Oryctolagus cuniculus: one gene and its partners. The protein of the gene in region 1 interacts with the protein of each later gene in a pairwise test. Links are inferred from orthologs where the notes say so. Each region holds a gene or a part of one and is shown on either strand. Other genes may lie near its edges.

The links.
Region 2: the proteins of ARHGEF7 (region 1) and GIT1 interact in binary tests that used the Homo sapiens proteins (3 or more experiments, as listed by UniProt). The link is inferred for Oryctolagus cuniculus from reciprocal best matches to the Homo sapiens genes ARHGEF7 and GIT1.
Region 3: the proteins of ARHGEF7 (region 1) and SH2D1A interact in binary tests that used the Homo sapiens proteins (3 or more experiments, as listed by UniProt). The link is inferred for Oryctolagus cuniculus from reciprocal best matches to the Homo sapiens genes ARHGEF7 and SH2D1A.

What each region holds. Positions count from the first base shown.
Region 1 is NC_091440.1:2,032,193-2,041,835, forward strand, and holds part of ARHGEF7 (rho guanine nucleotide exchange factor 7), read right to left. Parts: intron 6,448-9,643; coding exon 6,309-6,447; intron 4,365-6,308; coding exon 4,305-4,364; intron 3,694-4,304; coding exon 3,547-3,693; intron 1-3,546. UniProt on the Homo sapiens protein: Acts as a RAC1 guanine nucleotide exchange factor (GEF) and can induce membrane ruffling. Functions in cell migration, attachment and cell spreading. Promotes targeting of RAC1 to focal adhesions. May function as a positive regulator of apoptosis.
Region 2 is NC_091448.1:45,035,868-45,046,274, forward strand, and holds the end of GIT1 (ARF GTPase-activating protein GIT1), read right to left. Parts: intron 9,814-10,407; coding exon 9,596-9,813; intron 9,513-9,595; coding exon 9,418-9,512; intron 9,082-9,417; coding exon 9,039-9,081; intron 7,579-9,038; coding exon 7,552-7,578; intron 7,413-7,551; coding exon 7,364-7,412; intron 7,030-7,363; coding exon 6,957-7,029; intron 6,652-6,956; coding exon 6,554-6,651; intron 6,305-6,553; coding exon 6,193-6,304; intron 6,115-6,192; coding exon 5,981-6,114; intron 5,877-5,980; coding exon 5,724-5,876; intron 5,634-5,723; coding exon 5,400-5,633; intron 5,324-5,399; coding exon 5,270-5,323; intron 5,187-5,269; coding exon 5,100-5,186; intron 4,990-5,099; coding exon 4,916-4,989; intron 4,826-4,915; coding exon 4,643-4,825; intron 4,540-4,642; coding exon 4,476-4,539; intron 4,353-4,475; coding exon 4,140-4,352; 3' UTR 2,921-4,139; downstream 1-2,920. Other genes in the region: TP53I13 (tumor protein p53-inducible protein 13), read left to right, coding at 1,259-1,387, 1,508-1,690, 1,780-2,311, 2,392-2,504. UniProt on the Homo sapiens protein: GTPase-activating protein for ADP ribosylation factor family members, including ARF1.
Region 3 is NC_091453.1:102,130,607-102,140,793, reverse strand, and holds the start of SH2D1A (SH2 domain-containing protein 1A), read right to left. Parts: upstream 5,077-10,187; 5' UTR 4,984-5,076; intron 4,772-4,983; exon of another isoform or gene 4,670-4,771; 5' UTR 4,570-4,669; coding exon 4,433-4,569; intron 1-4,432.

The DNA of each region.
Region 1 (9,643 bases):
CCCTAACCCTAACCCCAACCCACCCTAACCCCAACACCACCCCTAATCTTCACCCCACCCCCACCCCCACACCACTAACCTTCACCCCCACCTTAACCCTAACCCTCACCCCAACACCACTCCTAACCTTCACCCCCCCCCTAGCCTTAGCCCTAACCCTCACCCCACCCCTAACCGTCACCCCCACCCCCATCCTAGCCCTAACCCTAACCCCGCCCCTAACCGTCACCCCCCCCAGCCCCCCCCCAACCCGGGCAGCAGCACTCACTGGGGTGCACATCTGGCACCACAAGGACACGCTGTGGGACACGTGCCCAAGATCACTAAGTCAGGAAGAGCAGTCACGACTTCTGGGGCACTCAGGCCTCAGCAGCTGGCGGAGGGGACAGACGTCTCAGAATGGGACCTCGCGGGTTCCGATCACGTCAGCTGCTTTTCCCAGAGACAGAACACGCAAAAAGAGGTGCTGCCCTCGTAACGCAGTGAGCATGAACTCACGCGCACGGTCCAAGTGGACGGCTCGGGGGGTTCAGAGGGCAGAACCTGGTTTAACCTCCCACTAAACTAAACCCAGAAGAAAACCGTGACCCCTCCCCACCCCACCACGTGCCGTAAGTAAATGCCAACTGGTACACACGACAGAAAAGTGCAATGACATGAACCACGGGAAACATTCCCAGGAGTGACGGCCGGACAGGCACAGACCTTACAAGGCTCTAGACAAGCCCGCACCCAGATCTAAGCCCCTCTAATGCACTCTAACAAGCCCCAGACCAAGTTGTGACAGGACAGGAGTCCTGCTGGGTTTTGTCCTCACTGACGGTCCCTGAGGACCTGTGTGGCAGGACCCCAAAGAGGGGACAGACGGGTGGTGACAGTGGTGGGCTGCCATGACGACCCTGTGTGGCGGGACCCCAAGGAGGGGACAGACGGGTGGTGACAGCAGGTGGGCTGCCATGATGACCCTGTGTGGCGGGACCCCAAGGAGGGGACAGACGGGTGGTGACAGCAGGTGGGCTGCCATGATGACCCTGTGTGGCAGGACCCTAAGGAGGGGACAGACGGGCAGTGACAGCAGGTGGGCTGCCATGATGACCCTGTGTGGCGGGACCCTAAGGAGGGGACAGACGGATGGTGACAGCAGGTGGGCTGCCATGATGACCCTGTGTGGCAGGACCCTAAGGAGGGGACAGACGGGCAGTGACAGTGGTGGGCTGCCCTGATGACCCTGTGTGGCAGGACCCTAAGGAGGGGACAGACGGGTGGTGACGGTGGGCTGCCATGATGACCCTGTGTGGCGGGACCCCAAGGAGGGGACAGCAGGCGGTGACAGCAGGTGGGCTGCCATGATGACCCTGTGTGGCGGGGCCCCAAGGGGGGACAGACAGGTGGTGACAGCAGGTGGGCTGCCATGATGACCCTGTGTGGCGGGGCCCTAAGGAGGGGACAGACGGGCAGTGACAGTGGTGGGCTGCCCTGATGACCCTGTGAGGCAGGGCCCCGAGGAGAGGACAGACGGGCAGTGACAGCAGGTGGGCTGCCATGATGACCCTGTGTGGCAGGACCCCAAGGAGGGGACAGACGGGCAGTGACAGCAGGTGGGCTGCCATGATGACCCTGTGTGGCAGGACCCTAAGGAGAGGACAGACGGGCAGTGACAGTGGTAGGCTGCCATGATGACCCTGTGTGGCAGGGCCCCAAGGGGGGACAGACAGGTGGTGACAGCAGGTGGGCTGCCATGATGACCCTGTGTGGCAGGACCCTAAGGAGGGGACAGACAGGCAGTGACAGTGGTGGGCTGCCATGATGACCCTGTGTGGCAGGGCCCCGAGGAGGGGACAGACGGGCGTTGACAGCAGGTGGGCTGCCATGATGACCCTGTGTGGCAGGGCCCCGAGGAGGGGACAGACAGGCGGTGACAGCAGGTGGGCTGCCATGATGACCCTGTCGGCGGGACCCCAAGGAGGGGACAGACGGGCGGTGACAGTGGTGGGCTGCCATGATGACCCTGTGTGGCAGGACCCTAAGGAGGGGACAGACGGGCGTTGACAGCAGGTGGGCTGCCCTGATGACCCTGTGTGGCAGGACCCCGAGGAGGGGACAGACGGACGTTGACAGCAGGTGGGCTGCCATGATGACCCTGTGTGGCAGGACCCCGAGGAGAGGACAGACGGGCAGTGACAGCAGGTGGGCTGCCATGATGACCCTGTGTGGCAGGGCCCCAAGGGGGGACAGACAGGTGGTGACAGCAGGTGGGCTGCCATGACGACCCTGTGTGGCAGGACCCCAAGGAGGGGACAGACGGGTGGTGACAGCAGGTGGGCTGCCATGATGACCCTGTGTGGCAGGACCCCGAGGCGGGGACAGACGGGCGGGGACAGTGGTGGGCTGCCATGATGACCCTGTGTGGCAGGACCCCGAGGAGGGGACAGACGGGCGGTGACAGTGGTGGGCTGCCATGATGACCCTGTGTGGCAGGACCCCGAGGCGGGGACAGACGGGCGGGGACAGTGGTGGGCTGCCATGATGACCCTGTGTGGCAGGACCCCGAGGAGGGGACAGACGGGTGGTGACAGCAGGTGGGCTGCCATGACGACCCTGTGAGGCAGGCCCCGAGGCGGGACAGACGGGCGGGGACAGTGGCGGGCTGCCCTGATGACCCTGTGAGGCGGGACCCCGAGGAGGGACAGACGGGCGGGGACAGTGGTGGGCTGCCATGATGACCCTGTGTGGCGGGGCCCCGAGGAGGGACAGACGGGCGGGGACAGTGGCGGGCTGCCCTGATGACCCTGTGTGGCAGGGCCCCGAGGAGGGGACAGACGGGCGGGGACAGTGGTGGGCTGCCATGATGACCCTGTGTGGCAGGACCCCGAGGCGGGACAGCAGGCGGGGACAGTGGTGGGCTGCCATGATGACCCTGTGAGGCAGGGCCCCGAGGAGGGACAGACGGGCAGTGACAGCAGGTGGGCTGCCCTGATGACCCTGTGTGGCAGGGCCCCGAGGAGGGGACAGACGGGCGGGGACGGTGGCGGGCTGCCATGATGACCCTGTGTGGCAGGCCCTGGGGCGGGACAGCGGGCGGGGACGGTGGTGGGCTGCCATGATGACCCTGTGTGGCAGGACCCCGAGGAGAGGACAGACGGGCAGTGACAGCAGGTGGGCTGCCATGATGACCCTGTGTGGCAGGCCCCGAGGCGGGACAGCAGGCGGGGACGGTGGCGGGCTGCCATGATGACCCTGTGTGGCAGGCCCCGAGGGGGGACAGACGGGCGGGGACGGTGGTGGGCTGCCCTGACGACCCTGTGTGGCAGGCCCCGAGGCGGGACAGACGGGCGGGGACGGTGGTGGGCTGCCATGATGACCCTGTGTGGCAGGCCCCGAGGGGGGACAGACGGGCGGGGACGGTGGTGGGCTGCCCTGACGACCCTGTGTGGCAGGGCCCCGGGGGGGACAGCGGGCGGGGACGGTGGTGGGCTGCCATGATGACCCTGTGTGGCGGGGCCCCGAGGGGGGACAGCAGGCGGGGACGGTGCTGGGCTGCGGTACCTCGCTCCCTGCACACTGCATCACGACCTGCGACATGAAGATGACGCTGCCCAGGGTCTTGATGCCGTCCCCCTCCCAGTTCCGGATGGCCTCCGTCAGGATCTGGGACTCCAGCTCTTTCCTCTTCCGCACCTCCTGACACTGGGCCTGAGACACAGAACGACACTGTCAGACAGGACCTCCCGAAGCTTCCAGACTGGCTGTGCTGTCTCTGCCTGACCCCTCCCACTGACAGCCACTGCTTCCTGGCCTACCTCCTAAGACAGGTAATCGACTGACCTGCTTGACTGTATGGAGTTGGAAACATTTTCTTTAAAAAAAAAAGTATGGGATTAACTCACAGAAGCAAACACAACTTGGCTGCAACACCCAGCAGTATTCCTACAAACAGAGCAGATCCTGCCACTGTAGGAACGGAAGCGGACGCTCTGGCTCACTGGCCTCGCCAACATAAAGGCCAAAGACAGTAAGGGCCAGGGCAACTGTGCTCCCTGGAGGAACACGTGTGGGCGGAGCCACCGGAGCCCCGCTGTGGCCGCGGCTGTGACACTAAGGAGTGGTGCCTTCCAGAATCTACAGCCACCAGGTCCCTCAGCGGGTGCCCAGCGCCCGCTCCAACAGCAGTGACGGCCACGGGGTCCCCACGCCTCGCTCATCGTCATCTCTCATGCGAGCAGACGCTGAAGCCGCGTGAAAGCAGCTCTCGTCACCTAACCTGTCCCTCCCGATTCACTGCCACACTCGGCTCCAGCACTTACAGACAGGTTCTTGAAGGCAGTCATGGACTTCTGGATATCCTGTCTGTCGGGATGATGATCCTTTGAAGAAGAAACACCCTATGAGCTTCTGCATCACAAGCCAGGACGCCAGCACCGCTCACTCCGCAGCCCTGCTCTCCTCAGCGGGAGCCACGGGATTTAGCGTGGGGGAAAGACAGCGGCGGGGCAGGCGTCAGCAAACGAAGCCGGTTTCGTGAATGATGCGTTCCTGCAGCCTGCAGCTTCAGGCTGTCTCCGGCCACTGCTGCGCGGACCGTCAGAGGGTCCTGGCTAGTGCCCTGGTGACGGGGGCCCCGACAGCTCCTCCCTCCACCTGTCGGAACACACAGCCCGAGTCCCTGGCTAGTGCCCTGGTGACGGGGGCCCCGACAGCTCCTCCCTCCACCTGTCGGAACACACAGCCCCGAGTCCCTGGCTAGTGCCCTGGGTGACGGGGGCCCCGACAGCTCCTCCCTCCACCTGTGGGAACACACAGCCCGAGTCCCTGGCTAGCGCCCTGGGTGACGGGGGCCCCGACAGCTCCTCCCTCCACCTGTGGGAACACACAGCCCGAGTCCCTGGCTAGCGCCCTGGGTGACGGGGGCCCCGACAGTTCCTCCCTCCACCTGTCGGAACACACAGCCCGAGTCCCTGGCTAGCGCCCTGGGTGACGGGGGCCCCGACAGCTCCTCCTCCACCTGTCGGAACACACAGCCCCGAGTCCCTGGCTAGCGCCCTGGGTGACAGGGGCCCCGACAGCTCCTCCCTCCACCTGTCGGAACACACAGCCCGAGTCCCTGGCTAGTGCCCTGGGTGACGGGGGCCCCGACAGCTCCTCCCTCCACCTGTCGGAACACACAGCCCGAGTCCCTGGCTAGCGCCCTGGGTGACGGGGGCCCCGACAGCTCCTCCTCCACCTGTCGGAACACACAGCCCCGAGTCCCTGGCTAGCGCCCTGGGTGACAGGGGCCCCGACAGCTCCTCCCTCCACCTGTGGGAACACACAGCCCGAGTCCCTGGCTAGCGCCCTGGTGACGGGGGCCCCGACAGCTCCTCCCTCCACCTGTCGGAACACACAGCCCGAGTCCCTGGCTAGTGCCCTGGGTGACAGGGGCCCCGACAGCTCCTCCCTCCACCTGTTGGAACACACAGCCCGAGTCCCTGGCTAGCGCCCTGGGTGACGGGGGCCCCGACAGCTCCTCCCTCCACCTGTCGGAACACACAGCCCGAGTCCCTGGCTAGCGCCCTGGGTGACGGGGGCTGCGACAGCTCCTCCCTCCACCTGTCGGAACACACAGCCCGAGTCCCTGGCTAGTGCCCTGGTGACGGGGGCCCCGACAGCTCCTCCCTCCACCTGTGGGAACACACAGCCCCGAGTCCCTGGCTAGCGCCCTGGTGACGGGGACCCCGACAGCTCCTCCCTCCACCTGTGGGAACACACAGCCCGAGTCCCTGGCTAGCGCCCTGGGTGACGGGGGCTGCGACAGCTCCTCCCTCCACCTGTCGGAACACACAGCCCGAGTCCCTGGCTAGTGCCCTGGTGACGGGGGCCCCGACAGCTCCTCCCTCCACCTGTGGGAACACACAGCCCGAGTCCCTGGCTAGCGCCCTGGGTGACGGGGGCCCCGACAGCTCCTCCCTCCACCTGTCAGAACACACAGCCCCGAGTCCCTGGCTAGGGCCCTGGGTGACAGGGGCCCCGACAGCTCCTCCTCCACCTGTCAGAACACACAGCCCGAGTCCCTGGCTAGCGCCCTGGGTGACGGGGGCCCCGACAGCTCCTCCCTCCACCTGTCAGAACACACAGCCCCGAGTCCCTGGCTAGGGCCCTGGGTGACAGGGGCTGCGACAGCTCCTCCTCCACCTGTCAGAACACACAGCCCGAGTCCCTGGCTAGCGCCCTGGGTGACGGGGGCCCCGACAGCTCCTCCCTCCACCTGTCAGAACACACAGCCCGAGTCCCTGGCTAGGGCCCTGGGTGACGGGGGCCCCGACAGCTCCTACCTCCATGTGTCTTTCGAGCTCCTTGAGCAGCGTGGGGTACTTGTCGAGGCGCATGAAGGGTCTGCTGAGGCCGGTGGTCAACACGAGAATCCCCGGGCTGTTGGCACCTTTCATCTCCATGAACTCCCCCAGGTCCTCACTGGGCAGGGCGGAAGATGGAGCTCGGGTCAGGGCGAGTGGTCCTCACGGCTCTCTGACTTCCACTGAGGGGCCAGCACTCACAGCAGGCGACACTGTTCCGACTTGGGTTTTGAAGCCTACACACAACTTTGCTAAGCAAACATGAGCTGCTCTTCTGAAACGCCAAAGGAGACCCCCGGAGGGTCCCAGCTCTGCGCTCCCACGAGCAACAGCAGCTGTGCGTGTCGCGGGATCAGCAAGTCTGCGCAGTTCTGCTAGCGCCAGAGTGGGCCACGTCCCGAGCTGCCCAGACGGCCCCCAGAGGCCCTCCTGCAACCCCATCCAGGGCCCCAGCTTCTGCACACCCAGCAACGGCTCCCGACCTGGAGGCCGCGCAGAGCACCACAGGCCGGGAAGCAGCACGGTGGAGGCTTCACACCTCCCACACCACTCCGTCGTCACGTCGCGAGAGGAGAGGGGCAACACTGCACGTCCAGAGCCCCACCGAGGCGCGGCCTCCCCGCTCAGCACCCTGTCCCAGCGTCTCGGTCAGCCGAGTGTTCCCACAGGGGCCCTCCTCATCCCGCGGTTCCACGCCCGTCGCCTCTGCCCTCACAGTTCCACAGGAACTGGGCTCACACCAACACGTCTGTGAGTGCTGCTCGCTACTGGACACTGACTTCACCTCTGCCGTGGGGCCCGGCCTGCCACCCTCACCCCCCGTGCATCACCTCCAGCCCTGCAACCATGCCAGCTGGGAGAGGGGCACGCCAGCCCAGGCACCTCGTGCCACGTTCTCCAAGCGTGAGCCCTCAGCACCTCGCCAGATCCTGAAGACCAGGACAACCCCTAGCACTTCACCACGTCCCGGGAGATCCGGGAGACCCTCTGGTCGCGCCACGTCACCTCCCAGGAGACAGGGCACCTCAGTCACCACGTCACACCCCGAGGGGCCAGGACCACCCCCTCGTCACCTGTCACCCCCTGGGAACCAGGGAGTGCCCTCAGCCATCAGTCCAGTGTCAGGACCCCCACGCCTCGACCCAAAAGGCTGGACTCAAATGACCCCCCCAGCAGCACCCTGAGCAAACCTCTTTTCCTAGCACAGAGGCTTTTCTGCAAACAGGAGGAGGTGTCTCTCAGAAAGCTACGAAGGGCGCTCTAAGAGACCACAAAGATCCTAACAGAAAACCTGAGAGGCCACACTCCGTTCAGGTTTCCAAAGGAGCCCGGGACAGCCCTGCCAGGCCACACCATGCCGGCTCCAGACCTACGAGGCCTTGGCGACCCCCGGGCACAGCAAACACTCACAGGCTCCCGGTGGTGTCGGGCTGAGTTCAGATGGTGACTCCTATAGCCCGACGCCCACCCTCCAACAACCGCACGAGGAGAGGAGCCGGGCGGGCACCTCGGTGGCTCCGCCCAGCCATCCACCCAGCCTCACGCCATGCCGCCTAGGCTTCGGAGGGCAGGAACACGCCGCCCGGCCAAACCACCTTAGAAACGTGCCGAAACCATGCCGCCTTGAAGGAAAGCAGCCTTCCGTGCCCTGAGCACGTCACACAGCTCAGACGCCACCCGGCACGCACAGGACTCACAGCCCCATCAGCCATCCACACCAGCAGCAGTCCTTCAGATCAGCGGACGTGCACACTCAGGTATCGGCCAAGCCAAGCACCGTCCTAGCTATAGACCAGCAGAAAATAGCCTGTCCTCAGTGTACACAAGGCAGCCTTCACAGCTACACATCAAAACATGGCCAACAAAACCACCCAACTCCTTCTGAGGGCTGGGGAGGGTACCGTAGGGTGTGTACACACCCATGTGTTTTGCAGGCAACACGCAACTCAACACCTTCAGTCTCCAATTTTTGTGCTTCCTAAGAACTGTGTTCAAGGTGGGCATCTGGCCAAGGGCAGGTGCTTGGTGTAGAGGTGACGTGTTGGTGTAGGGGTGTTGGTACAGTGTGTGGTGTAGAGGTGAGGTGCTGGTGTAGAGGTGAGGTGTTGGTGTAGAGGTGAGGTGCCGATGTAGAGGTGAGGTGTTGGTGTAGAGGTGAGGTGTGTGGTGTAGTGTGTGGTGTAGAGGTGAGGTGCCGATGTAGAGGTGAGGTGTGTGGTGTAGTGTGTGGTGCAGAGGTGAGGTGCTGGTGTAGAGGTGAGGTGTGTGGTCTAGAGGTGAGGTGTGCAGTCTAGAGGTGATGTGTGTGGTGTAGTGTGTGGTGTAGAGGTGAGGTGCTGGTGTAGAGGTGAGGTGTTGGTGTAGTGTGTGATATAGAGGTGAGGTGCTGGTGTAGACGTGAGGTGTGTGGTATAGAGGTGAGGTGTGTGGTACCGAGATGAGGTGTGTGGTGTAGAGGTGAGGTGTTGGTGTGGAGGTGAGGTGTGTGGTGTAGAGATGAGATGTGTGGTGTAGTGTGTGGTGTAGAGGTGAGGTGTTGGTGTAGAGGTGAGGTGTGTGGTGTAGTGTGTGGTGTAGAGGTGAGGTGCTGGTGTAGTGTGTGGTGTAGAGGTGAGGTGTGTGGTACCGAGATGAGGTGTGTGGTGTAGAGGTGAGGTGTTGGTGTGGAGGTGAGGTGTGTGGTGTAGAGGTGAGGTGCCGGTGTAGTGTGTGGTCTAGAGGTGAGGTGCCGGTGTGGAGGTGAGGTGTGTGGTGTAGTGTGTGGTGTAGAGGTGAGGTGTGGTGTAGTGTGTGGTGTAGAGGTGAGGTGCTGGTGCAGTGTGTGGTGTAGAGGTGAGGTGCTGGTGTAGTGTGTGGTGTAGAGATGAGGTGTGTGGTGTAGTGTGTGGTATAGAGGTGAGGTGCTGGTGTAGTGTGTGGTGTAGAGATGAGAGGTGTGTGGTGTAGTGTGTGGTGCAGAGGTGAGGTGCTGGTGTAGTGTGTGGTGTAGAGGTGAGGTGTGTGGTGTAGTGTGTGGTGTAGAGGTGAGGTGCTGGTGTGGAGGTGAGGTGTGTGGTGTAGAGGTGAGGTGCTGGTGTAGTGTGTGGTGTGGAGGTGAGGTGTGTGGTGTAGTGTGTGGTGTAGAGGTGAGGTGTGTGGTGTAGTGTGTGGTGTAGTGTGTGGTGTAGAGGTGAGGTGTGTGGTGTAGTGTGTGGTGTAGAGGTGAGGTGCCGGTGTAGTGTGTGGTGTAGAGGTGAGGTGCTGGTGTGGAGGTGAGGTGTGTGGTGTAGTGTGTGGTGTAGAGGTGAGGTGCTGGTGTAGTGTGTGGTGTGGAG
Region 2 (10,407 bases), on another chromosome or scaffold:
AGCCTCAGTTTTTGTCATCTCTAAATGGGGATAAAATAGTACCCTTCATGGTGGCAAAGTTTAAATGAGCTTATTCACAAATTCAGCGAACATCATTGTGGTAGACAAACAGTGCGTGGCCTCAGAGTTTTCAGTCTAGTGAAGGGGAAAAAAAGGAGACGTTAGGGCTGTCATTGTGGCATAGCAGGTGAAGCCGACTCCTGCGACAGTGTTGCCACTGCTCTGAGTCTCGGCTGCTCCACTTTTGGTCCAGCTGCCTGCTAATGTGCCTGGGAAAGCAGCAGAGGATGGCCCCAGGGCTTGGGCCCTGCATTGGGTTTTCCTCTGCAATATCTAATGTTTGGGGATCCTATCTCCACACCAAGAGATGTTGCATCCTGTCACCTACCAGGCCCTTCCCTCACACAGCCCTGTCTGGCTTCTTAGACCTTAAAGAAGCCTTTTCCGGCCTCTCCCAACCCTTGGTTCCTCTTGGTGTTGTGGTCGGCTCACCACACAGGTGCTTCTGTTATTCTCCGCCACCCCTGGCCTGTCTGCAGCTCCCTGCTCTCCGCAGCCTCCCAGGAGAGCTCACAGCCTCCTCATCTCACCTGGTCTTGTCAGCCTTCTTTTTTCCATCCTCCCCCAAATTCCTGTAATGCTCATAACCGTCTCTTCCAGCTTCTCTGCTGACCACTTGGAGTTTGTTAGTTTACTCTTGCACTCGCAGTGGCTGTTCCTGAGTTTCTTACGCAGGCTCTGCTCTCGTTTGCATCTGCTGCAGCACATAGCTCAGTGCTGAGCGCCAGGTCGACTCAGTCAAAGAATGATTCATGATTAAGGAAGCATTTCAGTCCTGAGGTTGTGCACCTGCTGCCTGCATGCCCTGGATCGAGAAGCTCTTGGGGGACTGACTGCTTCCCAATCCAACCTATATGTAAAGACCTGGTCTTTGTTTGGGGGCGCTTGGAGTCTGGACTGTGCACCTGCAGAGGCGTCACTGTGCCGCAGGTGCAGAGAGACAGCTGAGGAGTGTGGTGTGCGTCTGGCCGGGCTATGACCTTTGAGGGTAGCCCTTGATGGAGATGAGGGGTGACGGGAACACACAGACAGGAGAGTGCACAGTAGTACCCGGGTTCCTCCATATTTTCCTGGGCGCTGAGGGTGGAAGGACCGTTTGGCCATCCTGGGACTTGCTTTGAACTGGCCCCCAGGATAGGGGAACATGAGACTGGGAGGGACTGGGGCTTAGCTGAGCGTCTCTGTGCCTCTCCTCCAGGCCAAGGCCGTCGGCTTCCTCTACCACCCCTGTGCCCACCCCTGGCTGAAGCTCCGGCTTGCCCTCCTGGCCCACACGTTGGTGACGAAGCCCCCGCTTGCCCCCGACTCCAGTCTTACTCGGGAGCGGGTAAGCGGCAGGTGGAAGGTGCTGTCGGGCAAGGAGGATGATGCCCCACGTGCTGGGAAGGAAAATTCGAGAGCTTGCTCCCCTTTCCCCTTTTGCTCTAAGGACTGATTCCTTTCATAGCCCGTGGTGCTGACAGCCTGGGGGGTGGCCCTGGAGATGGCATGGATAGAGCCAGCCTGGGCCGCCCACTGGCTGAAGAGGCGGCGGCGGCAGCGACAGAGAAAGGAGTGGCCCCACTCTGTCGGGCTTTCTGGGGCCCCTCCCTCTGCTGGAGCGGGGCTGTGTGGGAGGAGGTGTGCCCAGGTAAGGCCTGCGGGGCTGGCTCGGTGGGCAGCCGGATTACTGGGTTCTGTGCGCAGGCCAGGGCTCACCACCGTGTCTTCTCCCCTCAGGCCCTGGCCCTTGCTCGGCAGAGCTGGTGGCCCCCAGGTGCTGCAGGGACATCCAGAGGGCCCAGACAGCCCTCTCCCAGTGGTGCCAAGAGGCGGGGGCTGCGGGCCGCCCTGGGTCTCCAGCCCACTCCCTCAGGCCCGAGACCTGCCTCGTCTTCCTCCTGGAGCTTGAAGTCCCAGCAGCGCATGTTGGGAGCCTTAGATAAGGGGAGTAAAACTACAGTGCTGCCTGGGCTCCCTGAGAGCAAGGCCAGCTCCAGGACAGAGGCTCTGGAGCCCCATGGGCAAGGCAGCCCCGGCGGCTGTGCCTGCCCCACTCAGCCTTCCCCAGCCCCGCGGGCAGCAGCGCCTCCGCGGGCAGCTCAGGGCCCCACACCACGCACCGAGGAGGCCGCCTGGGCGGCCATGGCCCTGACCTTCCTGTTGGTGCTGCTCACGCTGGCCACACTCTGCACTCGGCTGCACCGAAACTTCCGAAGAGGGGAGAGCATCTACTGGGGGCCCTCCGCGGACAGCCAGGACACGGTGGCCGGTGAGTGTCCTCCCCCAGCCCCCCACCCCTCTACTCCCGGCGGTGGGCGTGTCCCTGACTGCACCCCATCTTGCCCGCAGCTGTGCTGAAGCGGAGGTTGCTAATGCCTCCGCGCCGCGGCAAGCGTTCCCGACGGAGACCCCTCCTTCCGCCCACACCGGACAGTGGCCCGGATGGGGACAGCTCTGACTGACCTGGCCCGGCCCTGCCGCTGTGGCGCCACGGGCTCCTCCCGCTGGGAGGCCGCGACCTCTGCCACGTGGACCCGCGCCGCAGCGCCCCCTGGTGGCAGACGCAGCATTGCCGAGGCCCGACTTCCTTGGGAGGGGTGGCCCCTGGGAGAAATGAAGCTTTGTGCCTCCCGTTCCGAAATTCCCCATATTTCTAATTAAATTATTTTAGTAGAATCTGGAGTTGAGCTTGTGCCTCTGCCCCACAGACTCCCACCCGGACGCCCGTGTTGCTTGCCTTAGCGGGGAGGGCACACCGGCTGCTCTCCCCTCTGCGGACCTCCCCCCGGCTGCTGGCACCAGCGCCCTTCGTTCGCCAGGCTGGTGCCTCTCCCTGCCCGCGTGCCCGGCCCCCGCACCGCCCAGCACTGGAAGCAGCACATGGCCACTTATTTATTTTTGATACAAATGTACATGACACACGTCTTGACAGTCAGCCCACCACCACGCAGGCAGGGCCTGGCCCCCCAGGGAAGAGGCAGGACAGGGACAAGAGCTGGTGGTGGGTGCTGGCGTAAGCCTCTCCAGCGTGCCTGGCCTGCAGCTGGGGGTGGGGGGTGCCCAGGCCCCTGGAGGGTGGGACCACAGCAGGTGCAGGTAGTGATGGTGGTGCTGGCCTCCACGAGGTTAAGGGGAGGGGACCGTCAGCTCCGCAGCCACCAGCTGAGTCGGGGACCCCGGGGAGCCAGCCCCAGGCTCAGGTGCTCTGTCCTCCGCTCCAGCCAGCACACCTTCCCCTCCACAGGGGAGGGAGAGGAGGAGGGAGGGAGAGAAGTGGTTTTCTTGTTTGAAGTTCATGGAGAAGGGGTGCAGTGGGGGTAGCGATGACGAGGGACATAGGGCAGGACCACAGCTGGTGAGCCTGCAGTCTCTGGCCCCAGGCTGGGGGGAGGGAGGCTGTCCCCCAATGCTGGTTCCCCCACTCTGGTCCCCTTGTCCCTCCAAGCTCCAGGTGGACCAGGCCTCCGGGACGGCACTGCCGCCCGCACACTCACACGCAGGCACGCAGGGACACTCAGTTACCACAAAGTTAAAGTTAAGGAGTAGGGAGAGGAGAGGAAAGATTTTCCAGTGTTTGCTGCTGAGGCCCCCAGCACGCAGGCTGGGGCCTGTGCCCTCGGGAGGGGCCGTTTGGCATGAGAGGAGAGCAGCAAGGGGGCTGGTGGCTGCGGGGCAGGGACATCCACAGAGAGTATGTACAGGGGGGGATGCCCCCACTCAGCCCCCAGTAGGGCTGAACTGGCTCATGGGGGTGGGGTGACGCAGGGGGAGCGGCCCCACTGGGAGTGTCTCCCTGACCCGAGGCTGAGGGTGCTGGGAATGACGCCTTGCAGGCCCCTGCACGCTAGGAGGGAGGGGCGCTATGTACAGGGAGGGAGGTACATGGAATGTGGGGGACAGAAGGTCCTGCCACCCCACCTCCCCATCCTTGGGGGCTTGAAAGGGTGGGCACCAGGGCGCCTGGCTGCCAGAGGAGGGCGGCAGCACTAAGGGCACTTGTGCCAGTGGCTCTGTGGGGTGGGGATTAGTGTCTGGAGTGGCCCAGCTCCCGTGGCCAGTGAGGTCCCAGGGTGCAGGTAAGGGTGTAGGGAGAGTGGTCACTGCTTCTTCTCTCGGGTGGTGATGGTGACCAGCTGCTTGGCAGCCTTGGCAATGTCGTAGGCGCACTGGATCACCTGCTGAGTCAGCAGCTGGAAGTCCACGGGGGCGCCAGGCTCCGGCGGCACCGTCTTCCGGCACTCACTCTGCAGCCGGTAGGCGCTGGCGTTGAGCAGCCGGAGGGAGCTGCGCACCGGCTCCAGGGCTGGCCTCTGCAGGGAGACGGGAGGCCGGGCCTTGGACTTTAAGCCCAGCACATCTGTGCCTCTGCCCAGGGAGCTGTCACGTTGTCCACGTCTGCCCCACCCCTCGGGCTCCCACTCTGACCCCTGTACCTTTGGGAAGAGAGAGGCCATCTCGGTCACAGCCAGATGGATCTTCTCTGAGCAGGGCACAAAGCTGGAGGGAGGGCAGAAACGAGTGGGCTCTCCGGGCTGGTTTCCAGGGACGCTGGGGGCTGCCTGCCCCTCCCCCCTCTCCTGCGGCAGGCCTGCCGGCATACCTGTCATGCTTGAACTCCTGGGCCGCCCGCAGCAGCTCCTGGATGTTCTTGGTGACCTGCTCTGTCTTCAGAATGACGTCCTCTGTGCTGGGCAGCCCGGGGTCCAGGTCCCCGTCCAGGCTCTCCAACTCCGGGTGCAAGTCCTCCTCTTTGCCTAGCTCCAGAAACCGCTTCCCTTCCAGCCTGTCCCGGGGTCAAACACGAGGGACGTTTGGTCCCAGCGCTGACCTGGGGCGGGGTGGGGGGCTGTGGTGCAAACCCCAGGGCGCTCACCCCAGCAGTGGGTCCCCGCTCTGTGTGTTCTCATAGTCGCTGTCAGCACCGCTGCCGTGGCGCGAGAGCTTGCTCTGAAGGGGGTGGAGGGGCAGGGGGTGAGTGCTCCAGACTGGCCTGGGCCCACACGCCCCCGCCCCCAGTCGCCCCCAGCCCCCTTTGGGTACTGGGCGGCGGGCGTTACCGCGTGGCGGCTTCCTTCCTGGGAGCTGGACAGAAGCGGGGAGGAGGGCGTGAAGGGCACGGCTGAGGCAGACACCCCCTTCCGGATCTGCAAGGCAGGGCGGGGCTGGAGTCAGCGCCTCCCCCACCCCCCGCAGCGTGCCCAGTGTGACCGCCCCAGGCTCTGCTTACCCGGTAGAGGCCAGCAGGGACATGCACCGAGTACATGGTGTCGTCCTCGAGCTCCTGCGGGGTCAGCACAGCGGCGTCAGGGCTCGCCTCCGGTGCCCCCGCCCCCGCCCCGAGGCCCGCGGGCACTCACGGAGCTGTGGAACGGCTGCAGCCGCGTGCTGAGCTCGTCCGCAGGCGCGCCGCCGCCGAAGGGCTTCAGGGCAGAGCCCGGCTCGTACATGGAGAAGGCCTGGCGGTCCCTGCGGTGGGTGCTCCCGCCGGGCCCCATGGGGGTGTGTTCCGCCCGCTCACTGGGGAGCGGGGGTGTGGGCGCCGGCCCCGGGGGCTGCCGCAGCTGCAGGTTCTCTGCCTGCAGCTTGTGGATCTGCAGGTGGACACCGGTGTGTCGGCCGCGGGGCGCAGCCGGGCCCCCTCCCGCTACAACCCCGGCCGTGGCCATGGTGACAGCGCTGACCTCCCTCTGTAGCCGCCGGAGCTCGTCGCTCAGGCTGCTGTTGACCTTCATGAGCTGCTGCACTTTGGCCTCCGAGGTGGCCAGGGCCTTCTTCAGCTCCAGGTACTCCTGCAGCGTCACCGCCCCGTCCGACAGGTCCGAGGAGTCCATGCTCTGTGGGGAGACACGCCGGCCGTCAGCCCTCGGGCGCAGCCCGGGGCTCCGGCGATCCCTGCGCTGGGAGGAGGTAGAGCTGGGGCCGGGGGCAGTGCTCAGACCCGGGCGCGGTTGTTCCGGGTGGCGCCGGCACTGCGCAGGGGCTCCTGGTCCGTGTCCTCGTCAGAGGCTACGCTGTCGTAGTCGTGCTGGTCGTCCAGGTCGCTCTGGCTCCGTGCAGACAGCTCGAGGTGGTCTGAGGGCACAGGGCCTGTCACTCGGGGCGCCTCCCCTGGGCTGTCTCCCCAGGCAGGGGGAGCCGCGCCCGCCGCACCTGTCGGGCTGCTCAGGCTCTTTCCCTGCTGCCTCCGCTTGGCCTCGCTGAGAATGTCGATGATCAAGGTGGCAAACTCGCGGGCGTTGAAGCGGGCCAACTTCTGTCGCCCCTGCAAGGCAGGGAAGACCACGCTGACCCCTAACTGGCAGTGACGGGGCCGCCAGGCACTGCCCTGCCACCCGCCTGAATCAGGGCTGGTCCGTCAGGGCCCCGCTGGGAAGAGGCCAAGTACTCAAAGTAACAACGTCTTCCTGGTTCCCCAACCCCAGCTCAGCGAGGGGCGAGGGTGGGCAGGAGCCCAGTCCCAGAGCGCTGAGGAAGGGCAGGGCTCCTGGGGACGGAGAGACCACCCTCTGACCTGATTCCGGGTAGCCGAGTACTCCGGGTTAACCGGCAGGAAGGGCACGGCGCTGCGCTCCGTCACCAGTGTGCTGTGGTTCTGGGTGGCCAGCCACACTGTGGGGGAGGGACAGAGAGGCCATCAGCATGGTGGCCGGGCCTCCCCATGCCCACCGAGCCTGCTCAACAGAGCGGTAGGCTTATGCAGGATGAGGCTGGCGGGGGACTAGGCACAGAACAACGCCCACCCCGCCCTCCATCCAGCAGCCCCAGTTCAGGCTGGAATCTGGCTGTGGCCAGGAGGCAGTGACGTGGGGGGCAGAGGGGAGGGAGGAGCGGGGACGCGGCCAGGCACCTCTTCTGGGTTCCACTGAGGGCCCAGCAGGGGAGGCACTCGGGCCGACCGCCATCCCCGAACTTACCCGCGTCATTCTCTCTCCGGTCTACCTCGTCATACACGTCCATGGCAAGCTCTTCAAAAAGCCGGTTGCTGAGCTGGAGGCAGAGAGGGATGAGATTCTGTCAGATCACTGGCCCCAGTGCTGGCCAGGCCAGCTGGCTAGGATGGCGTGAGGCAGGGGAAAGGCTCGTGTCCTTGCTGCCACCCAGCCCCGTGTTCTGAGACCTGGAAAACAAGGCAGGGGCTTGGGTCCAAGCTCCAGGGAGGGCGAGGACAGAAGGGAGCAGGACTACTTGATTCCTCGTAGGTCAGAGGTGGGGCTAAGGCCCTGGGAGCCCTAGCACATGGAAGGCAGAGCCGAGGTCCAAGACAGGAAGGGTGCAGGGGCGGGGGGGGCTAGTGGGGGGCTCCGAGCATCAGGGTGCTCACCGCCTGCAGCTTCTTCTTTGCAGCTTTTGCCAACTCAGACAGGTCCAGGCTGGGGACGAGGAGGGGAGACGCAAGGGAAAGAAGGGCCGTGAGAGGTGGCCAGGCCCCTGTGGTGACCTCCCAGGCATGCAGGGCTCCCAGGCAGACAGGACCGCGACGCCCGCGCCCGCCCGCCACAGCCTCTATACCTCTGAGACATGCACTTTTGCCGAGACCTAAGTCCAGAGGAAGGCAGCAGAGGGAAGAACAGGACAGCAGCTGTTACCCAGCAGCAGGGCCGCTCGCGCCGCCTCGGGAGGAGCTGGCACTCTCGGCACGCACCCCGACCCTGCCTGCTCTGTCTGGGGCCCCTTCACGGGCTCTCGGCTACCTCGGGAGCACCTCGGCATCTCCCGCCCCAGGTGCTGCGCCGTTCCCTCTCGCCTGGGCGCCTTTCCCACCCAGTGGCACCACCCTCACTGTAGGGACCCAACATTCCAACAGTGCACAGGGCACGCCTCAGCCCTGCCTCCACCGAAAGCGAACTTCTAAGTACGGGCTGGATGCCTTGCACGCATCATCTCACTTAATCCTCTCAACAGCTCTGCCAGTCCCTCCTCAGATGAGGTAGCCAAGACGGGCTGAGCGTCCTGCCTCCAGTCCCACAGCCCATGGACGGCACAGCTGAGCCCACACGCCGGGCCTGGAACCCGTCTGCCCTGGGAATGGCCTGGGCTCTTGCCCTGGCTGTGTTCCTGAGACTCCCGCCCCATCCCGGGTGGTATTTCCAACCCCTGTGCCTCCTGCCGTCGGCAAGAGCTGCAGTGACGGGCAGCCTCCCTAGCTGGAGCAAGAGCAGGGAACATGTCAGACATCCGCCTGTGACTGCAGTGCCCAGAGTAGCTGCTGGCTCTGAGAAGGTGCACGGCCCATGTTGCACTGAGCGCGTGCCCACAAGTCGGGCTTTTTGCCGCACACACAAGGCAGAATCAGACCAGAGCAATGGGGAGAGTCTCAGAACAGGACGTCTGGGTTGAGGGATCCCTGCTGCCCAGGCCTGACCCTCTGCATCTGTTCACACCAGCTCCTAGGGGAGGGAGCAAGCTCCTCTCCAGTTACAGCCTGGCAGTGGAACACCGCCGCGGCCAGAGATGGCCACCAGGTGGCACTAGCATGCATCTCCTGAGCTGGATGAGTGCCTGGGGTGTCCTTACCACCTGGGGCTCTCCCAGCCTCTCAGATCAGAGGCGGGAACACCTCACTCAAACCCTGTGCCATGCATGGCCCTTGCCTGATTTCTGAGTGTGCGCCCAGGGCCTGGGCAGTAGCCGCAGAGCGGGTCAATCCCTGGAGCCTACCATCTTTCACTACGGAACAGAGGTTTGTGTAAGGTGGGGTCAGAGCCCAGCAGCCACCCTCCCAGCAGAGAGGCCCTCCTTGTGCCCTGGGCAGTCAAGCGGCTCAGGTGGTGCTGGTCGTGTACTGAGCTGGCAATCCTTACCTGCCGTTGGGCCCAGCATTAGGAGTGAAGACTAGGCTCTGAAATACCTGTGCCTCCAGCCCCCCGACAGGATGGGGGTGGGGTGGGGTCCCAGGCCCCTGAAACCAGGGGAGAGGATGGGGTGGGGCCTCTGGGGGTCAAACGTCCGCATGGCATCCAACAGCCTTTGGGAAGGGGCGTCAGGTGGGCACTCACCTGTCAGCCATCTGTGGGATGATGTAATGCCCATTCTTGTGATCTGAACAAAAATAAAAATGCCAAGTCACTGGTGCTGGGTGGCCTCAGCAGCTGGGAGCCCACCCCACTGCCACAAGCAGGGCTTGGCACCCAGAAGTGTCGGGGGGGAAGGGGGAGGGCAGGCCACCCCAAGAGCGCTGGGAGCTGGCTGGAAGTTAGGCCCACCCCCACTCTCTGGCCCCAACCTGCTGCAGCCCAGAGCCTGCAGCAATTTCACAGGAGCCAGTTGCCTAGCAACACTGTTCCCCAGCCGGCTTTGTCACCATGGCACCTGCTGCTGGGGTGTGTCTGGGTCCCACCTGCCAGGCCCAGCCAGACCTGCCCGTGCTCTGCTCACCCGGCTTACGTCCACAGAGGTAGAAGGCCAGCCGGTCAGTGAGCTCATACTGGCACTCGACTAGCCTTTCCGCCAGTTCATGGTGCCCGGCCTGCCTGTGGGGAGGGGTATGGCTCAGCCCTGCAGCAGCAGCCCACTGCCCCCACCGGCCAGGCCTCACCCCCTGGCCGACCCTCACCTGGCATAGTCGATGGGTGTGCGGCCATTAACGTCGGGGGAGCCAGGGTCAGCCCCGTACACGACCAGCAGCTCTGCCTGCAGCGTCTGCCCTGCCTTGGCAGCCACGTGCAGGGGTGTGGTGCCCTTCTCTGGGTGGAAGAAGTTGGCCTGGGCGCCCAAGGACAGCAGGCGCAGACATGTCTCCAGGTTGCCGGTCCGCACGCTTGAGTGCAGTTGCTGCAAGCAGTGGAGTGTGCAGTAACTGTGCACGCGTGTGCACGAGTCCTGCCCCAAGCTGCCCCTTGCCCCGCTGCTCCCCGCAAGCCCACCAGCTCCAAGGGCCTCAGCCAAAATCTGGCCATGTCAGGGAAGACAGAAGGCTCCCCACCAGGAGTGAATGCCAACGAATAAAAACTGCCTTCAGGGCTGGCACCCGGTGCAGCAGCCAGGATGCGGCCTGGGATGCTCACATCCCCATCCAGAGGGCCTGCTCCAAGTCACAGCTCCTCCACTTAGGAACCAGCTTCCTGCTAATGTACCGAGAGGCTGAAGGGAATGGCTCGAGGTGCCTGGGTCCCGGTCGCCCACATGGGAGACCTGGACTGAGCTCTGGGTTTCTTGCTTAGACCTGGCCCACCCCTGGCTGTTGTAGGCATTTGGGGAGTGAACAAGCAGCTGGGCGATCTCTGTCAGCCTTTCAAATAAATAAAAATAAGATTCAAAAAATCGTAACAACTGCCACAGTCACCAGCCGCTGTGTGCTTGTATGCTCTGCCAGGAAGCCATATCACCTATGAGGTAGTTGCTATTATTTCTTTCCCATTTTACAGA
Region 3 (10,187 bases), on another chromosome or scaffold:
CCTGCCACCTGCATGGGAGACCCGGATAAAGCTCCTGGCTTCAGCCTGGTCCAAAACTGGCTGTTGCAGCCATCTGGGGAAATGTATCAGTAGATGGAAACTCACATTCTGTCCCCCGCCCTGTAACTGACTTTCAAAGTGAATAAAGAAATCTTTAAAAATATATATAGGAGTGCCGGCGCCGCGGCTCACTAGGCTAATCCTTCGCCTTGCGGCGCCGGCACACCGGGCTCTAGTCCTGGTTGGGGCACCGGATTCTGTCCCGGTTGCCCCTCTTCCAGGCCAGCTCTCTGCTGTGGCCCAGGAAGGCAGTGGAGGATGGCCCAAGTACTTGGGCCCTGCACCCCATGGGAGACCAGGATAAGTACCTGGCTCCTGCCATCGGATCAGCGCGGTGCGCCGGCCGCAGCGTGCCAGCCGCGGCGGCCATTGGAGGGTGAACCAACGGCAAAGGAAGACCTTTCTCTCTGTCTCTCTCTCTCACTGTCCATTCTGCCTGTCTATATATATATGAACTAAAGCTCAACCAAATCTTGGTCAATGGGAACAAACAAGAGAATGAGAGGGGCCGCCGCCTGCAGTGCAGGCATCCAATATGGGCATCGGTTCAAGTCCCAGCTGCTCCGCTTCCGATCCAGCTCTCTGCTGTGGCCTGGGAAAGCAGAAGAAGATGGCCCATGTCTTTGGGCCCCTGCACCCATGTGGGAGACCCAGAGGAAGCTCCTGGCTCCTGGCTTTGGATCGGCACAGCTCTGGCCATTGCGGCTGATTGGGGAGTGAACCAGCAGATGGAAGATTCTCTCTCTCTCTCTCTCTCTCTCTACCTCTACCTCTACCTCTCTACCTCTCCTTCTCTTTCTGTGTAACTCTTTCAAATAAATAAATAAATCTTTTTAAAAAGAGAGAGAATGAGAAACTATTCTGAGTAAACCCTACAATCAATGCATGTTTGTTAGCTGTACCTTGTGGTTCATAAGTACATGATACCACTTACATTACCACCTAAGCTGCATATTTCAAGCATAAGTGTTTTGGTTTAAAATGAGTACAGGGCTTATTTCAAAATACAATTTAATTAAAAAAAAAGGGAATGAAATGTTTATGTTTATCAAGAAGGCTACGTGGCTCAAAAAGGTTGAGAAACACTGATCAAAGGAAAATGTCCTTGTGTCTTCCCTCTGCAGCACAGTGTGCCGATCACCCTAACAATCTCATAAAACTTTGAAGCCAGAGTGTACCAATCAAAAGACACAGTAGGGAACTCCCAATTTGCCTACTATTTTCTGTGGCTTCACGAGGAGGCTTTCATGGAGACCCAAGAGTCATACAAACTACATTTACACATTTGAGAATTGAATTTCCCTCCTGTTTAAATTCATCCCTTGTATGGTTCTGGCCTATGTGGGCAAAAGGCTACACTTGTCCTTCTCTCTGCATATTTCACTTTCAGCAAACTTGCAGAAGACATGCATTACTATTCCTGTTTTATAAACATGGAAACTAAGGCCTAGAGAATATGAGTGACTCCTCTGGAGCCCCCCTCCTAGCCTCCTGATGACAGATTAAGGCTCTTCCCCCCCACAATGCATGCACAGATTTATTTATCTATTTGAAAGTCAGAGTCACAGGGAGAAAGGGAGAGGAAGGGAGAAGAGGGAGGGAGAAGAGGGAGGGAGGGTGGGAGGGATTGACTGATCTTCCATCAGCTGATTCACTCCCCGGGTAGATGAATAGCCAGGGCTGGGCCAGAAGCCAGGAGCTTCATCTGAATCTCCCACATGGGTGCAGAGGCCCAAACGCCTGTGCCATCTTCTGCTGCTTTTACCAGGGAGCTAGATTGGAAGTGGAGCAGCCGGGACACAAACTGGCGCCCCTTCAGGATACTGGCATTGCAGGCATTGGCTTTACCCATCTCACCAAAACGCAAGCCCCTGGATCAAGGCTCTTCGCAGTAAAAAACAGAATTTCCTTCTATAGTTCACTGGTTGGTTAATTCAGAAATATTTTTTGAGTGCCTATCTATGCACCAGGCTATATTCCTGGGGCTGGAGATGAAGACCCTTGCCCTCACGGAGATTACATTTTTTCTATTTATTTATTTATTTTATTTATTTATTTTTTGACAGGCAGAGTGACAGTGAGAGAGAGACAGACAGAGAGAAAGGTCTTCCTTTTTCCGTTGGTTCACCCACCAAGTGGCCGCTATGGCCGGCACGCTGCACCACCCTGAAGCCAGGAGCCAGATGCTTCCTCCTGGTCTCCCATGCGGGTGCAAGGACCCAAGGACTTGGGCCATCCTCCACTGCCCTCCCGGGCCACAGCAGAGAGCTGGACTGGAAGAGGAGCAACCAGGACAGAATCTGGTGCCCCGACCGGGACTAGAACCAGGGGTGCCAGTGCCGCAGGTGGAGGATTAACCTAGTGAGCCGCGGTGCCAGCCGAGATTACATTTTTCTAGAAGATCCCAGCAATACAGTTAAGTAAACATGCAAATGTCAGGCCTTTAAAGCTCCTTGAAGAAAAATAAAGAGCACGTAAGTGGGAGAGGTAGAGGGCATTCAGTCTAGATAGGGTGGCCAGAGAAGGCCTCGCTGAAGGAAGAGTCAGTTGCCTAAACATGTAAATCAAATTTTTGCAGAAGGAGCATTAAGGGCAAAAACCCTAAATAGGAAGCATACTCAGTGAGCTTAAGAAATGGCCAGGAGGCCAGCAAAAATGAAGCCTTAATGTACGTAGCCACACACTGTCCCCCGCTCTCCCAACCCCTGCCCAGGCTTCTTTTGTGCCTTCCTCTTTACCGCTAAGCTAAGAAGCACATTACCTCCTTGGCTAGCTTCCCTAAAGCAGCCCCCTCAACCCTCCCACTCACTCCCCTACCTTCTTTTGATAATGAAAGAGTCTATCTATAAAGAAACAACAAATGCTTGCAGGAGATTGACATGTTTATCTAGATTTGAACATTACATGACGTATGCACGTATCAAAACATCAATGGAGCCCCATGAATATGTACAATTTTCATATATCAGTTAAATTTTTAAATTTTTTTTAAATTAAAAAGAAAAGCGCCTAAGAATCCTAGTTGGCTTTCACCACCCTCTCCTGGTTTCACTCAGGAAGCACAGTAATATCAGGAAAACATGAAACTGCAAGCTCAAGAGATTCAGTAACTTGTGTGCATCTCCTTTGCAGTCCTTATGATGAATGTATTTAGTACAATCTCAGAACTACTACTAACAAACCTTGGCCATTTTTAAAAACCAATATACAATCAATGTATCATCAATACTGAACTGACTGACTACCAAGCGTTAGCCCTTATTTTGTTTCTGTCTAGAACCTAACGTAGAGTGCTGGTGTTTCCATGGGTGATTTTATCCTGGTGATGACAATGCTTCAGCTAGGTCCTTCCCAGGAGTGTTAAAAGTAATCAACTGAAAGAGAAGATTGATTGTAATAATACCAATATCTTATTTCTACTGAACACTTACTATGTGTTAGGTTCAGTGTTAATTTTTTACATGCATTACAGCACGGAACCTTCACAGTTCTGTGAGGTGGGTAATACCCATTGAATGGATGCAGAAACTGAAAGACCAAGACATTAATTTGCCAAGGCCACACACCTGGCTTCTGACCAGCACAGGGTTTCGCTCTCACAGCTGTCTGCCTCTGGAGCCCTGGAACAAAGATGCAGGTGCATCTGATTCAAAATGGGGCATTTAGACCCAGACACGCCTAGACAAAGGCAAAGCTGAATCATGACGAGGGTGTTTTCCCGCCACACCCTTTACCACTATCGGTCCTAGCTTTCATAGAGGAGGGTCTTATTTTTAAAACCTCCTGTCCCCCACACACCTCCTCTAAAAGAAGCTAAATAAGCTGATCCAGAGCAGCAGTTTTACTCACACACACCCCATCTCTGCGTCCTGACCCAACTGGTGGCCGCATTCTGAAAGTAATGGACTCTGCCCTTTAGTCTGCCTCCTCTCCCTGAATTTGGTATTCTTCCTTTGGGATGACACTTCCAAACCATCTCAAGAGAGGCCTTTCCTTCTCTCCAGAGCTGGGGGCCCCAAATCTGATTGGCCCATCATTCCAGGACTCCATCTTGCTGGCCTCAGTTGGAAGTCAAGACGGAAGCCAGGAGCCCGAGTCTCAAAGCAAAGGTAAATTCTAGGCCATGCTTCCCCATATCCTCAAGGCTACATTCTGCAGCTGCCCAGAAAGTCCCTGGCGAGGTCCTCCTGGAGAGGCGGCAGCCAGGGAATGAAATCCCCAGGAAGACACTCGGCCAAAGTGGGAGCTGAACAGGAAATCTTGCGGCCATGGAGAGGAGATCTTAATGAACAACTGCCACCCGCATCCCTGCCCCCAGGCCCCCCGTGCCCACTGCCCACACTCTGCGCCGCCACAGCCATAACGTACTCACAGCACACAAAGGCAATACACGCCCGGGACACTCTCACTGTCCCTCAGCAAATAGCTGCCGTCCAGCCCGGTGGCGAGCAGGAGCTTCTCCCCGGTTTCCCTGCTGATTTTGCCATGATACACAGCCACCGCATCCATTGCCTAGGAGACTCTGGGGCAGGCCGAGGTTTGCAGATGGTACTTGGGAGATGCAGCTGCTGCAGCCAGGCACAAGTCAGCCACCTGACTCCCAGTTCAGCTAAATGTGCAAAAAGAAAGAGAAGCACCGGAACAACAGGATGTTGTCTACCTGCCTAAAAACCTCCCTCTCACACTTCAATTAAAACCAGCTCAGCAACTTAGCCGCTTGGTTCTATCAAACTTGTCACCGGGTGTGGTCCCCACCCCCCAACCAACATAGGGTTCCTACAAAGAGTGCAACCTTGGAAAACGGACTTTGCACGATTTGGGCTGTACTGCCAATGCAGACTCTCACCCACTGACAAGAGTGCTTGGTAATGCTTCGATTCTTGCATTTTCCCCCCTGGGGCCACCGGGAATGACTTAGCTTACCCGATCTTCAAAGGAGTTGATAGAGGCAGCGTGTCATGCGGGGCTGAAACCTACTGAAGACGGAAGGACTAAAAGCTCTGAAACCAAAGCACCGAAACGGCACCTTCTATATGCAATTACTACTGATCATGGCCATGAGACTCCTGCAGAATCAGATGAAGCAGGTGAACAATAGACTTTGGGCAAGTTCCTCTCTCTCAGCTCCTAACTCAGATAGTCATCTTGAACGATCCTGGTCCTAAGTAAATACTGATTTTTTTTCTAGCACCTTGTCTAGGATCCCAATGTGCTGGAGGAGGTACAAAAATCCCAGTGTATGTCCAAAGGTATTCCAGATTTGTCTATTTGCTGGGCCCTGGAATGAAGCCAAATCATTTAACTGGGTCTTCATCATTACATGGATTTGTCTATGCCCTTTGGTGTGTAGGGCCCGCTTTTCAGGATTTCAGCCATAAAACTTGTTTTACAACATTTTGTGCATGTTGATAATTGTGTGGTAACTTTTATTCTGTTGTTTCTAGAGAATGGCTTCTTCTTCAATTGATGTTAAGCTGTCATTAATTTTTTAAAAGCCTTCAGCCTACATTTTCTTCTCTGAAATAAAGCATTGCTTCTATTTCAAATAGTGATAAGTAATATTTCCCAAAAACTTCCTCCATTTTTGCTAGACATCGTTTAATGCCTGGAACTCAACAGTCTTACACATGTCACGTTAGATTATGTAAAATACTTTTAGAATTGGAATACAAAGAGCTGAAGCTATGTTGTCTGTTGTATTCCTTTCACCACTTCACCACCTACTTTTCTGAGAATGCGTCTGGGCTGGGAACTCTCTTGGGAGGACATTTAAACCCTCATATCTTAACCAATGAATTGGATGCTCAGAGCCAAAGATGGTTATTTTCCCTCCAACTATGAGGGTTAAGGACAATCCTTTTGGCCAGCACCACGGCTCAATAGGCTAAATCCTCCGCCTGCAGGGCTGGCACATGGGGTTCTAGTCCCGGTTGGGGCGCCGGATTCTGTCCCAGTTGCCCCTCTTCCAGTCCAACTCTCTGCTATGGCCCGGGAGTGCAGTGGAGGATGGCCCAAGTCATTGGGCCCTGCACCCCATGGGAGACCAGGAGAAGCACCTGACTCCTGGCTTTAGATCAGCTCAATGTGCCGACTGCAGTGCGCCGGCCGTGGCAGCCTTTGGAGGGTGAACCAACGGCAAAAGGAAGACCTTTCTCTCTGTCTCTCTCTCACTGTCCATTCTGCCTGTCAAAAAAAAAAAAAAAAAAAAAAAAAAAAAGGACAATCCTTTAAGATTTCAGTGGTAGCCAGCAACAGCTCTCCTTGGTGGAAGAATGCCCAGCCATAGTAGCTGAAATATAAGTCTCCTTCATTTCTTTTCACATTTTAGAGACTTTAACGATTTTTAATTAGTTTTTTACAGATTGAACGTGCTTTGTAGACACAAACATAATATTCTCTTCCTTTTTGAGGTAACATTTTAAATTTATGTTACAGTGAAAACGCTTAATACTAAGTTTAGCAAGTAAAAAGTAAAAAAGACCCTAGTTTAGTGGGAATATAAACAACAGCTATAAATATTTGAATGGAAAAATGGTCATTTCACCCATATACAGTAAATTTTAAAGCAATCACAGATCATTAAAACTATAGTAGTATAGCTTTTTTAAAAAAAATTATTTGGCAGTCAGAGTTACACAGAGAAGGGGAGACAGAGACAGAGAGAGAATCTTCCATCTGCTGTTTCACTCCCCCACTGGCCACAACAGCTGGAGCTGTGCCAATCGGAAGCCAGGAGCTTCTTCTGGGTCTCCCACACGGGTACAGGGGCCCAAGTACATGGGCTATTTTCTACTGCTTTCCCAGGCCATAGCAGAGAACTGGATGGGAATTGGAGCAGCCAGGACTTGAACTGGTGCCCATATGGGATGCCGGCACTACAGGTGGTGGCTTTACCTGCTACAACACAGCGCCAGCCCCTGGACTCTGTATTTTGAATGTGCAAAAGATTATCCCAGAGAAACTAATCACAATGGTGGAATTTCAAATATGAAAGAAGACAGGGGAGGGGAACCCCTTATATAAGCCCATATGGACAACAGCCCACCTGTGAAGTAAACTGTGAGAACATTTGGTGTGACACAGATTAAAAACAAAATGTAACTTTTCTTTTTTGTCTCTAAACAATTTTGACAAATCATCCACACACTTGGGAACAGAGCAACCTGGATTTGACAGGACAAGTGTACCATACGTACTTCTTTTCTTTCTCTGTTTTGTTCCATGTTGCTAAAATAGCACTCCTGTCAAAGCAGCCAGGTATGATAGGGTTCAGCACAACTAAAATCACATTTTAAAAAAACGGCGGATAAATTATAAGGTAATAGTACAGCTCTCACATCCAATACCTCATTGTCATTTCACAAGCAAGCTGACAGCCAAACCAGCCCACTAGTGTAGTGTTGATGAAAAATACTGACATCGTCACTCTAGTGCTACACACTGAGCTTAAAGTGTAGAAAAAAAGAGGAACTGAAATGGCTGGCTTCCTTATCTCTCCCCAGAGAGGAAAGGGGAAAAATGAAAGAGGAGAGCAATGGAGATAGTGGGAAGTGCCAACAGAGTAATAGGAACAATGGGTTCCAGGTACAAAATATATACCACTTAGGAGCAAAATCGTCTGTTTATTGTCTCTATAAGGTCCAAGGTGGCAGGATTTGCGTTCACCACTGTATCTTCCTTGTCTGACACATGGTAGATGCTACATATGTTGAGTAATGATTTAAATTAATGCTCTTAAGGAAATAAGGTAAAACATGGGCTAGCATTGTAGCACATCGGTTTAAGCCACTACTTGTGGCACTGGCATCCAATATGAGAATGCCAATTCAAATCCCAACTCCTCCACTTCCAATTCAGCTTCTTGCCAATGCTCCTGGGAAGGAAGCAGACGATGGTCCAAGTACTTGACCCCCTGCCACCCCTGTGGGAGATCTGTATGGAGTTCCAGGCTCCTGGTCAGCATAGTCCAGCCCTGGCTGTCGCAGGCATTTAGGGAGTGAACCGGCAAATGTAAAACTGTGTGTGCATGTGTGTCACTCTTTCAAATAACTTTAGAAAATGATACTATTTTATGCACACATGTGCACACACACACACACAAATATGGTTTCTATATGTTTGTAGCCCACCTTTGAAAATGGCAAAATGGGGGCTGGCACTGTGGCATAGCGGGTAAAACTGCCGCCTGCAGTGTCAGCATCCCATATGAGTGCCGGTTCAAGTCCTGGCTGCTCCATTTCCGATCCAGCTCTCTGCTATGGCCTGGGAAAGCAGTACAAAGTGGCCAGAATGGGAGAACCAGAAACAGCTCCTGGATCCTGGCTTTGGATTGGCCTAGCTCTGACCATTGTGGCCATTTGGGGAGTGAACCAGCAGATGGCAGACCTCTCTCTCTCTCTCACCCCTCCCTCCCTCCCTCTGCCTCTCTGTCACTCTTTAAAAAAAATAAACAAATGGTAAAAAAAAAATGGCAAAGTGAATTGGAAGAATATTAGGCCAGTAATTATGAGATTCAAATTTTACACCCTGTTTTGCAACTAACTCACTTCCTCTCTCTGAGCCTCATTTTTCTTGTCTGTCAAATGGAGTTGAAACAGATGACCCCTTAGTTCAATTCCAGCTATAATACCCTGGGCTCTAAAGGAAAGCCAAATGGGCTTATTGAGAGAGAAACCGGAAAAAATGGACTGAACTCATTTGTGTTGAATAAGCAAGACTTGTTTCCTGAAATCTCACCCAGTAGGGAAAATATTTTTCTTCTTGGTGCTTTGAAAGAGCCTAAAGAATAAAAATTCTAGAGCAGAGGAAGAGGGCTTCACAGTTTAAAGAAAACTGACTTCTTATGATATAGATGCCATTTAAATCAAATATAAAAGTATTGCAAGTTAGAGGAGCTGTCAGCCAAGGTTGAAAGTGTCTTCTCATCTAAACTTGTCACCTCCTGAGGTCTTTGAGAGGTGACAAAATTTTACATGTGAATGCCCTGTCTGAGGTGTTAATTGTCTTCATTTCAAATGCCCTAGGCTTTTCTCAAGCCCAGGTAGATTAAAAGAAGGATGCCAAGGGTGGTCAAGTTTATAGAGGGCATCTGACATTTCAACATCATTTTCTCTAACCTTTCAAAACTAACTTTGTTCTTCCACTAACTTATCTATAGGTGTGAATTCTCCTGTGACAGTGTTATAATAGTGTCACCTATGATAAACCCACCTATGATGGGTTTACACATTCTCTCAGCACTTACTAAAATCACTTCCTGTTAAAAAAGAGGAAAGAAAACACATTTTAAAAAATAAGAGCATCTCCTTTCAATAATATCTGGGTTTACCTATGAGGATAAGTTTTCTTAATGTCCTTTTGTGAGAAGCCAGAGAAAGGGTTGCTGTGTTTATTTAAACCTGCTTTAAATACAATTATTCTTTCAATCAACATGTGTGTCTACTGTATGCCAGATACTTACTTAGGTTGGAACGAAGAAAAGCATAGTACCTGCCCTCACGTAGCTCATAGTCCTGAGAAGATGATGAACAAGTAGACAATTACAAGTCACTTAATAAGACTTGGGATAGAGGAAAGTGTAGGGATCTAGGTGCACAGTAGTGGCATGTCTAACTCAGCTTATACTCTATATGTCTATAATCTTATTGAAAAGACCAGTTCTTTATATTTCTGTCTTCTATGTATAGTTATTTTTATTTGACCTAATTTTACTTTTTTCATGACTCGAGAGACACCCCCTAATTTGAACTGAAATTCTGTCTAAAATAATAACAATAGCTAAAATTTGTTAACTGCATACTACATTTCAGGCATCTTGCTAAGCACTAGAAATATATAATCTCATTTATTTATATCAGTAACCCCCATAAAACAAATACTGCTTTTATCCTCATTTTTAGCCACAATGAAGTCAAAACTAAGAGCACCTAGGTAGCCTGCTCCAGGTGGCACAGCTTGCCAGTCCCAAGATTTGAGGACAGGCCACTGAATACGGAGCCTGTGCATTTCTTCTGCCTCCCAATGTTAATTTTGGGACCACTGCACTAGGTTGTTTGGGATTCAGTCTATCTAGAAACTATAATTTTGACTTCTAGAATGTTCTTCTTACACTTCTCAAGTGTCAGTTG